Yarrowia lipolytica: one gene and its partners. The protein of the gene in region 2 purifies or fractionates together with the protein of the main gene of each other region. This does not show direct contact. Links are inferred from orthologs where the notes say so. Each region holds a gene or a part of one and is shown on either strand. Other genes may lie near its edges. The genes, in order: YALI1_A03402g, YALI1_D10865g and YALI1_E17171g.

Region 1 (2,833 bases), on a different chromosome or scaffold from region 2:
CTATATGCACTCGCGAATGCGATTCCGAGTGAGCGAGTTCCTCAAGGTGCTGAACCGAGCAAAGCAGGAGAATGTGGTCAAGGAGAAGAAGACCGCCAGTGGAAGAACCTTCAAGCATCCCAACTAGGTGGCCAGTAACTTGACGTAGCGTGCTGCTGATTGACTTCTCTTCATCTAACGGTCGGAACTAGCTATGCATCGGTATGTCTCCATGTACCATTGTAATGAATATGATATGAATAACAACTGACTGTAGTGAAGGTGTATGGAAGGCATTATCGAGATAGATTGGCGTGGGTACTGGTACGGTAACCACTCTGAAGAGTTTGATTGTTACGTGTATTTTAAATCAATATGACCAGGCTCGATGACTTTGTAGATGAGCAGGCCATTTTCCCGTCCTGACCAGGATAACCACGTTCATGATCCCAGATAGCAAGTGTTCGGGAGAATAATCCGGAACATGACATTGTCACAGGATAAGCGACTTCAACTGTGCAACTACTCAATAATAGCACCTTTTTACGACTCTGCTTCCAGTAAGTCCCTCACTGGAACCTCCTCTACATCCCATTATTTACAGAATCACCGCATCCCGAAAACCATCACATACACAGCTCACGACGTGTCGCTAGCTGATGCTCCATTACTATATACATTAGGCGCCCGGAGCAGCGGGCTTCTTGGTTCCGTACTTGGATCGCGAGCTGGCTCGGTTGGGCACAGCTCCGAGATCGCCGGCTCCTCGGATCAGATGGTACTTGACACCGGGAGTATCCTGGACTCGGCCTCCTCGGACGTAGACCACACTATGCTCCTGTGCGTTGTGACCCTCTCCGGGAATGTAGGCGGTCACCACCTTGCCGTTGCTGAGACGGACTCGGGCGGCCTTTCGCTGGGCAGAGTTGGGCTTCTTGGGCTTGAGAATCAGAACTCGCAGAACAACGCCCTTTCGCTGAGGGCACGACTCGAGATCGGGAGACTTCTTTCGTCGGTAAGGCACAGGTCGGCCTCCGTCTCGTTGGATCTGGTTGATGGTCTTGTGTCGCACGGTGAGAGCGGCCAGGGTGGGGCTCATTGTGGGCTTGGGGAGCGCAGAGGCTGTCCAGGGCAGACGAGCCATGCCCATTCGGGCGTTTGTGAGGGCAGCTCCCAGAGATCGAAGCATTTTGTGTAGTTCGAGATCGCGAAACTGCTGACTTCAAGCTTTGAGATAGTGGCACTGCATGCAAATTTCAGTGTTACCCGGCCGTAAGCCCAGAGACCCAACTCCCAAGGAGACCCACCCAGTGTGTGTGTGTGTGTGTATGTATAGTATATAGTTGGGTGTGGCTTCCGGGTAACCCCCGTCAGAAATGTAAAAGTCAGTGGGCAGAAGACCCCTTCGTACATCTTATTCAGACACGAAAAATGGCCGACGAAGAATACAGTGAGTAATTGATACCTGCGAGCGCACAAGGCGGCGTGCACTGTCGCACACGAGCAACCGCAAGCCGTATCTTATATCTGTTGGCAAAGATACTGAGCTCTCCACCCAACAAGAATACTAGCACAACCGCAACGACAGAATGAGAGAAGAGAAGAGAAGAGACACTCGACAAGTGCCCGCTGCAAAGGTGTATTGCGCCGAACCTGTTTCAAGGACACAGAACGGGTCCAGTTGGAGCTGTTCCCATATTTGTCTACCCATTTTGTTCGCCATGAGGTTGTGCTGGGCTCGGTCTGCATCTGTCCACCACAAGTGTCTGTATTCGGCACCAGTGCATCACGCCAATCCACCCACACGCATCCACTAACACAGACCGTTCGGCTTCCCCTGAACAGACCTACGAGAGACGAAGTGTGTCTCCCCGTCGTGATGACGACGAGGCTGGTGCCCCTGTTGAGCACACCCACGACGACCGAGAGCTCGACGACCGAGACCACAGCATGCGAGACCGAGACGACCTCGACCGTCGAGATGACCGGGACGACGAAAACAGAGACCACCGAGACGATCTCGACCGACGGGACGACCGGGACGACCTTGACCGTCGAGACGACCGACGTGACTTTGACAGAGACGACAGAGACCTGGACCGACGGTCAAAGGAGCCCCTGAATGACGACGACGATGTTGACGCCCAGAACGAGGGCACCAATCTCTTCGTCACTGGCGTGTCCCGATACGTCAATGAGACCGAGCTTGAGGACCTGTTCAAGCCTTTTGGCGAGGTTCTCAAGTGCCAGATCATGATGGACCCCCACTCTGGCGAGTCCCGAGGCTTTGGTTTCGTCATGATGGCCGACGTTACGGGCGCCGACGAGGCTCTGGCCAAACTTAACGGCCATGAGCTTGCTGGCAAGACTCTTGCCATTGAGAAGGCCAAGCGAAAGCGAGCCCGAACCCCCACCCCCGGTCGATACTTTGGACCTCCCAAGGCCCGACGAGGTGGCCGAGGTGGAGGACGATACGGAGACGATCGATACTCCCGAGACCGATACGACTACCGACGACCTCCCCCCTCTCGATACGACGACCGTCGATACGAAGAGGACTACTACCGACGACCCCCTCCTCCCCGGTATGATGACCGAGACCGATTCCCCGGTAGCGGCGCCCCTGGTGGCGGTGCTGGATACCGAGGAGAGCGAGGTGGCTACGGTGGTGGCCGGTACGATGATCGGGATCGAGAGCGATACCCTCCTTCCCGAGATTACCGAGGACCCCCACCTCGAGACTCCCGAGACATGCGAGAGCCCCGGGACTCCTACCGAGATCGAAGCGAGCGAGGAGGAGACCGGTACAGCCGACCTCCCCCACGAGAGCGGGAGTTCCGAGGTGAGTACGGAG
Region 2 (3,208 bases):
GGCCAAGTAATGCGAATAATTCTCAAGTAAAGCCATGTAAATTTATGGAGGGTAAAGAGGGTCGATCACTGAACGAATACAAGTACAGATTGGTACCGGTACGAAAAGTACAAGTACATATATGCTACTTGTAGGGAAAAGCGACAAACATTAAGGGAAAATAAACACTCTTGGACTTCGTAATTACAACATCTTTAGAGACTCTCTTCCTTCAAGCTACAGTAGACCCCATCTAGTCTACAGAGGAGACGTCTTTCAGAGTGAAGCTCTAGAAACATACCACTGGTTGCGACTTCAAAGCAGTAAAGCAATGAGATCTATCTAACCACTGTTTGAGTATCTACAGTGAGATTGAGTCGTAGTGATCTTGAGCAGCGTATAAACCATACTATTATACTGTTCAAGCTCTCATGCACGGATCTCGTGTTTCATTCTTACGCCCATTCTCTCGGAGTAAGCTCCTCGATATCGGGATCTGTTCTCTCCTTAACTATATACAATACTCTACTTTCGGGGTCGGCTGGGGTCAGCATGGACTCGGTTGGCCACGGCGAGGTTGTGGATGACCAGGGTCTTCTCCATGAGCGACGCTCCCTTGGACTTAATGACGGATGCTATCTCCTCTCCGAGTCGGACCGAGAATGATCGGTTGGGCCGCTTCTCGGCGTTGTCGACGGACCACTTCCACACTATTCGTCGTCGCTGTCGCTCGGTGATGGGAACGGGGTACTGGACCTTTCGAGCACCAACGGGGGTCGACTTGATGACACAGACGGGGGCAACGTCATCAAAGACCTGCTTGAGCAGAGGAATGGGGTCGGCCTTGATCATGACCTGAGCGAGCTCCATAGCCTGGTAAAAGTGCCGTCGGGCAGCGTTCTTTCGGCCATGCTTCATGATCATATTGATCAGATGGGCCTCGAACTCGCCGTCGACCTTGTTGGGGATGGGCGCAGTCTTGAGAGCCTCAGCCTCGGCCACCTGCTCCTCGGTGGGCACAAACAGAGCCTTCTTACCGTTCTTGCCGGTGATGACCTGCTCAAACTGCGACTCAGAAGTGGGGTCGATGAGCGCCATGGGGTCGACCTTGTTGGCGGAAACGTCGCTGAAGAAGCCGGAAACAGTGCTCTCCTGTCGGTACTTGTCCAGCGTCTCTCGGAACTTTTGCATGTCCAGAGCGTCCTTACCCTCAAACTTTTCGGTCGACATGCTCTTGGCCTTGATGTCGTCCAACAGAGCAATCCACTGTCGAGCATGGCCCTCGGCGGTCTCGGGAGCAATGGGCTTTACGGCGTTGGCCTTGATTCGCTCCGTGTACTTGGCAGCAATAGCGTCTGTGTCCTCCTCACCCAGATCGGAGTTGACGGCCAGCTCCTGGGCAAGGGCCTTCTGGTCGCCGTCAAATCGGTCTGCTCGCACGTTCAGACCCACCAGGATCTTGGCGGGCGACGCCGAGGCGTATCCGCGACGGGCGGAGAACCGAGCTAGTCCTGAAGTCGTTCTCAGCATGGTGGTGTGTGTAGATGGTGATGTGAGAGTGAAAAGTTAGTTTGAGTTGGGTGTAGGAGAGGTGGTACCGGTGGAACCTGGGGGGGTTGGAGCGGGGGCCAAGGAGCGGTAAATTCGCAGAAATAAAGGCTGTAGGTGAAGTAGCTTGTCTTTTTGTATATATTTACTTTTTTCATTTTGTCATTTATGCTCCCATTCCATCATTTATCACATACCTCTTTATATCTCCAAATACAATCCTTGCAGCCTCAAAGTGTGTGAAATTTGAGGTGAAATTTCGGTCACTCGACTTTTTTTAGCTTTTCGGAGAGAGAATATGGGTATCAGTAAAATGGGGAGTTTGAGGACTGCAGCCTTGAAAAATTGACAGAATATATATTGCCACAGCGAAAATATTTCGACTAAATTTCACCCATCTATCTCTTCTTCAACCTCCTCAAATTCCCATTGTCGTCCAGCTCTATAGTATGAAGAAGGTTTTGCTTAGTTATCAGGGTAGGGTTTTTCCTAGTTGACACAAGATCTTTATATGGTGTCATTTTTTGCGAATAAAACACCTTAGATTTACTTTTCCAACCATGGGCTATTGATTCCTCTTTTCTTCATCTTTCTAGCCTTCTTACAGCCATTTCTGGAAACCCTCCCGCTTCTCCTCCATTTTCACTGCATTTTTTAACTTCTCACCACTGAACATTTTCATAATCATCACACAACATGCTCAGACTGGCAAACCAAAGCAGGGTGCTCCAGGGAGCGTTTGCACGAGCCACGGTTGTAGGCCGGGCCTCCGCCGTGACCCATGTTCGTTTCATGTCCGATTCGACCGACGTTCCTCCCTCGGATCAGTCCAAGCCCTCGTTCCGAACCGACAAGCGCATTGAGTCAGCCACTCCGTTTGCTGAGCCCTCCGAGATCCCCTCTGCAGACGCCTCTCTGCTTCCCCGGACCAACCGAGTCGAGGAGCTCCAGTTTGAGGCCAAGTACACGCTCGACGCCAAGACGAAGGAGGCTCTGGATACCATTGAGGAGCTGGGCTTCAAGACCCGGCAGAACCTGGATCCCGAGCGATTCAGCGACGAGGAACTAGACCCCAGAAACTGGACCGGCCTCGAGTTCCATGAGGTGGTCACGCGTCTTCACAACCGACAGTTCAAGCTCGGATCGGCCTACTCCCAGAGCGAGGAGGAACTGCGACAGCTGGTTCGAGCTGGTCGAGTTGCTGGAGCCGACGCTGGCGTAATCCGATCCGCCTACCACGGCAAGCATAGCGTCGTTGAGAAGAATGAGGAGGACGACGATCTTTTGGATGCTGATCACGTTAACGAGTTCATGTACGACGATATCCCCACTGCTGGACACATGCAGGTGGAGAAGGTGCGAAAGATGCGACACCTCCAGCGAATGTCTGCCTACGTGCTCCCCCGACTCGTCGATTATCATGTGCCCTTTGATGTCAAGGAGGCTGACAAGAAGGCTTCTCCCCTGACCTTCAAGTACACCTCGTACACCGGAGAGGAGGCCGACGAAGAGGCCAAGGTGGTCTGCTACTTTGACCCTGCCAACCTGGGTCTCTCCGACAAGGGCCTGCACAAGTTCAAGCTGCTGTCTGGACAGAACTACGACGCTCTGACCGGCCAGTGCAAGTTTGCCAGCAAGCGACACCCCTCTGCCCCCGAAAACAAGCACTACCTGCTGACTC
Region 3 (3,026 bases), on a different chromosome or scaffold from region 2:
TGCTTGAGCTGGTCGTAGAACTCTTCGGGATCGTACAGAACCTGGATCTGGCCCTTGTCCACGGCAAACTTGGGCACTGTGGCTTCAATCTGCTTGAGAGTGATGTTGACGTTACTGTGGAGACCAGAGAGTCCTCGGGATCCGCCGGTGAGTCGCATGGCTCGCGAAGTTCGGGCACTCACCACGCCTGCTCGTCGAGCTGAGCATACCAATCCAGCCAATCGGGCGTTTCGAAACATGTGTTCTGCTGTTTTCACAAGTACGATACTGTTGGTCGGGGTCGTTAGTCGGGATATTTCAAAACTGCTGAAGTTTATCCATACATGCGGAGATTAGTATGGGGTAGGAGGAGTGTAGCTGATATTGAAGGCAAAAGACATTTTGACCGAGCAATCAAGTGACTATGCACTTGAGATCAGATTGTTCAAAAAAGCAATACTGTGCGGTCATTGTTGGCCATTGTTTGTTCGTCATACTTGCCTTATTGTATCCGAGCGTTGCGGCTCATCAACATACCAGTACAGGCTACAGCATCGCTCAAACACCAACTATGAATACTATTCCTATGTACAATGCACCCGTTTAGACTCGTCGTCGTCCAGGAGGTCGGGTACCTCCCTGGTTGAGCTTGGTTCGGTCAGACAGACGGTCGACCTTGGAGGCCACCTTCTCTCCCTCAGGGGCAGTGAGAGCGGCAAAGAAACCCTCTCGGCCTCGTCCAAAGCCTCGGACAACAACCTCGACGGGTCGGGTCAGCATGCCCTTCTTCTCGAGCAGCTCAAAGGCTCGGACACTGGTCTGGAAGGCTCCGTCGTACTCTCCTCGCTCCTTCTTCTTAATGCCGAGATGTCCGCAAGAAATGTGGAATCGCACCTCCTGGGGGGCTCGCACCTTCTGCAGCAGCTTCTCGTCAATGCTCTCGGGAATGAAGGACTTGTCAACAAACTCGTCGGTAGCGCAGATGTGCAAGTTGTTCTTGGTAGCGGTCACATGGACGTAGTGTCGCACCACCTCCTTACCCTTGGCGCTCTGGTCGATCTGTCTCTGGGTCTCTCGGGCCTTGTTCAGCTCCTCGGCGTCCGTCTTAGGGATCTTGCTGATTTCCTTTTGCACTGTGTTAGTACGATCCGGAGTCGTTCCATCTTGGTCAGATCCTCAAATCAGCCTGCTCGCAAGCGCTCAACTCACGGTTCATGAAACTGGCGAGGCCAGAATTGTGTCGAACACCTCCGATGGCGCCCGTGGCGACTCGGGTCCGCAGCATCTGAAACCCTTGCATTTTTGTGTTAGTGATGACGCTGTGGTGGTGGATATGCGTAACCTTGACAAATTTGATTTTCCACCCGGCACGTGATGCACTTAGTCAGTGGGAGGAGTGTGCGGTGATAAAACCAAAACAAATTGGATAAAACCGCCATAAATATATAGAAAATTAAAAGAAAGAAAAAAGCCATTCTAATTGACTGTGTATTAAAGAGGGGAACCATTTATTTTGCAATCGCCTATCCACACAAATCAGCTAAATCAACTAAATTAACTAATCAAAGTCTCTCATACATACTGAAGACCACAGTTCAAGCTTGAAATGGTGACGAGACGCTGAACACTTGAAAAAAGTACATACTGAAAAAGGGTTGGAGTAAAGTAAGTAAAGGCAACCCTCGACTGTTCCCTCGACTGTTCCCCTCGACTGTTCCCCTCGACTGTTCCCTCGACTGTTCCCTCTCTGGCTCCTCTCTCTGTTGGTGTTCCATCTCATCTAACCCATAGTTTCAGCTCACGATATGACCTCAGTTGTACTGGTACAGTATGTACATACATATACGTACTTGTAGAGAATGTACATGCTCATCATACTCTGATACGTTTGAAACTCCATACCTATATAACCAACGTCAATTCGCTACTTGTACGGAGTGGTAAATGAACTACTTGCTCCTTGTTCCTGCTTCACTTATGTGGCTGTCATACCATACCATTCTCACAAAAAACTTCCAGCAAAAAAGTCGTACTTGTGCTTACTGGACTCTGCTGTTGGAAACAATCGTTGGAGGTTAATTATATTTTCACACGAAGACTAATATTGCTGACGAGCAACGTCCCCTCGTAATAGCTACAGTGTTGGCCAAAAGCCAAATGGATAGAGTATATGGGGATCCGAGGGGCCCAGGGAACCGCCTTAGTTGTCACCGGGTGGCCTCTGCACCGCAATTAGCCGCCAGTCGCGTGGCTCGCCTAAAAAAGATGTATTTAGACCGGGATCCAGCGATGGAGTTAGACGCACCCACGTGGATTGCGTACGCTTATCGCTATGCAAGGGAGCAACAGAGAAAGAGTGTGGCCTACTTTGGAGGAGAGCGTGTGAAAAATTGACACACACGACACAAAGTACAGTCACTCTGCACATTGCCATTCAGCCCGAATCATGACGCAACAGGAACGAGAAGCCACCCGAGCCATCCGCACCACCAAGGCGCCCTACAAGCCGTGGATTAGCTCGCCCAACGTGGGTCTGTCTTTTGCCTACCACCTGATTGGCTTCATCTCATTCGCCTCGTCGTTCCACTTTCTGGAACAGTACCCCAACCCGCTCAATGCCTCGTACGGAGGAAAGTACCAGTACCTGACCATTCTGGGTCTGTGCGGCAGCTACCTAGCGTTCTTGCTTGCTCTGCTGGCCGACGCAGCCTCGCTCTACTCCAAGGACTTCAGCAATCTGCTTTACCAGCTCAAAAACTCCGTGTCGGTGGCTGTGACGCCCCTCGAGTGCGTCATCACCGTGCTCTACTGGTCCCTCAAGCTCTACGACCCCAAGCTGCTCAAACACCCCGCCGTCAAGGAACAGATTCCGTTGTGGCTCGACATGTCCATCCACCTGGTCCCTGCCGTCGCCCTTTTCCTGGACGTGGTACTCATGGGCCAGCCCTGGAACCTGACCACCGTCCAGGCCGTAGTTGCCAACTTTGGTCTGTCGGCAGCATACTGGTTCTGGGTCCACAAGACCGCCTCCGTCAACAACTTCTTCC

The links.
Region 1: the proteins of YALI1_D10865g (region 2) and YALI1_A03402g purify together in Saccharomyces cerevisiae (affinity purification with mass spectrometry; 3 studies listed by BioGRID). This does not show direct contact. The link is inferred for Yarrowia lipolytica from reciprocal best matches to the Saccharomyces cerevisiae genes RSM7 and MRPS12.
Region 3: the proteins of YALI1_D10865g (region 2) and YALI1_E17171g purify together in Saccharomyces cerevisiae (affinity purification with mass spectrometry, with the first as the bait; 3 studies listed by BioGRID). This does not show direct contact. The link is inferred for Yarrowia lipolytica from reciprocal best matches to the Saccharomyces cerevisiae genes RSM7 and MRPS18.

Annotation. Positions count from the first base shown.
Region 1 is NC_090770.1:338,585-341,417, reverse strand, and holds YALI1_A03402g (mitochondrial 37S ribosomal protein uS12m), read right to left. Parts: upstream 1,169-2,833; coding exon 659-1,168; downstream 1-658. Other genes in the region: YALI1_A03422g (uncharacterized protein), read left to right, coding at 1-127; YALI1_A03396g (uncharacterized protein), read left to right, coding at 1,411-1,429, 1,802-2,833. UniProt on the Saccharomyces cerevisiae protein: Component of the mitochondrial ribosome (mitoribosome), a dedicated translation machinery responsible for the synthesis of mitochondrial genome-encoded proteins, including at least some of the essential transmembrane subunits of the mitochondrial respiratory chain.
Region 2 is NC_090773.1:1,084,899-1,088,106, reverse strand, and holds YALI1_D10865g (mitochondrial 37S ribosomal protein uS7m), read right to left. Parts: upstream 1,510-3,208; coding exon 505-1,509; downstream 1-504. Other genes in the region: YALI1_D10858g (mitochondrial 37S ribosomal protein mS35), read left to right, coding at 2,224-3,208.
Region 3 is NC_090774.1:1,716,034-1,719,059, forward strand, and holds YALI1_E17171g (mitochondrial 37S ribosomal protein uS11m), read right to left. Parts: upstream 1,280-3,026; coding exon 1,189-1,279; intron 1,113-1,188; coding exon 583-1,112; downstream 1-582. Other genes in the region: YALI1_E17162g (uncharacterized protein), read right to left, coding at 1-239; YALI1_E17184g (uncharacterized protein), read left to right, coding at 2,426-3,026. UniProt on the Saccharomyces cerevisiae protein: Component of the mitochondrial ribosome (mitoribosome), a dedicated translation machinery responsible for the synthesis of mitochondrial genome-encoded proteins, including at least some of the essential transmembrane subunits of the mitochondrial respiratory chain.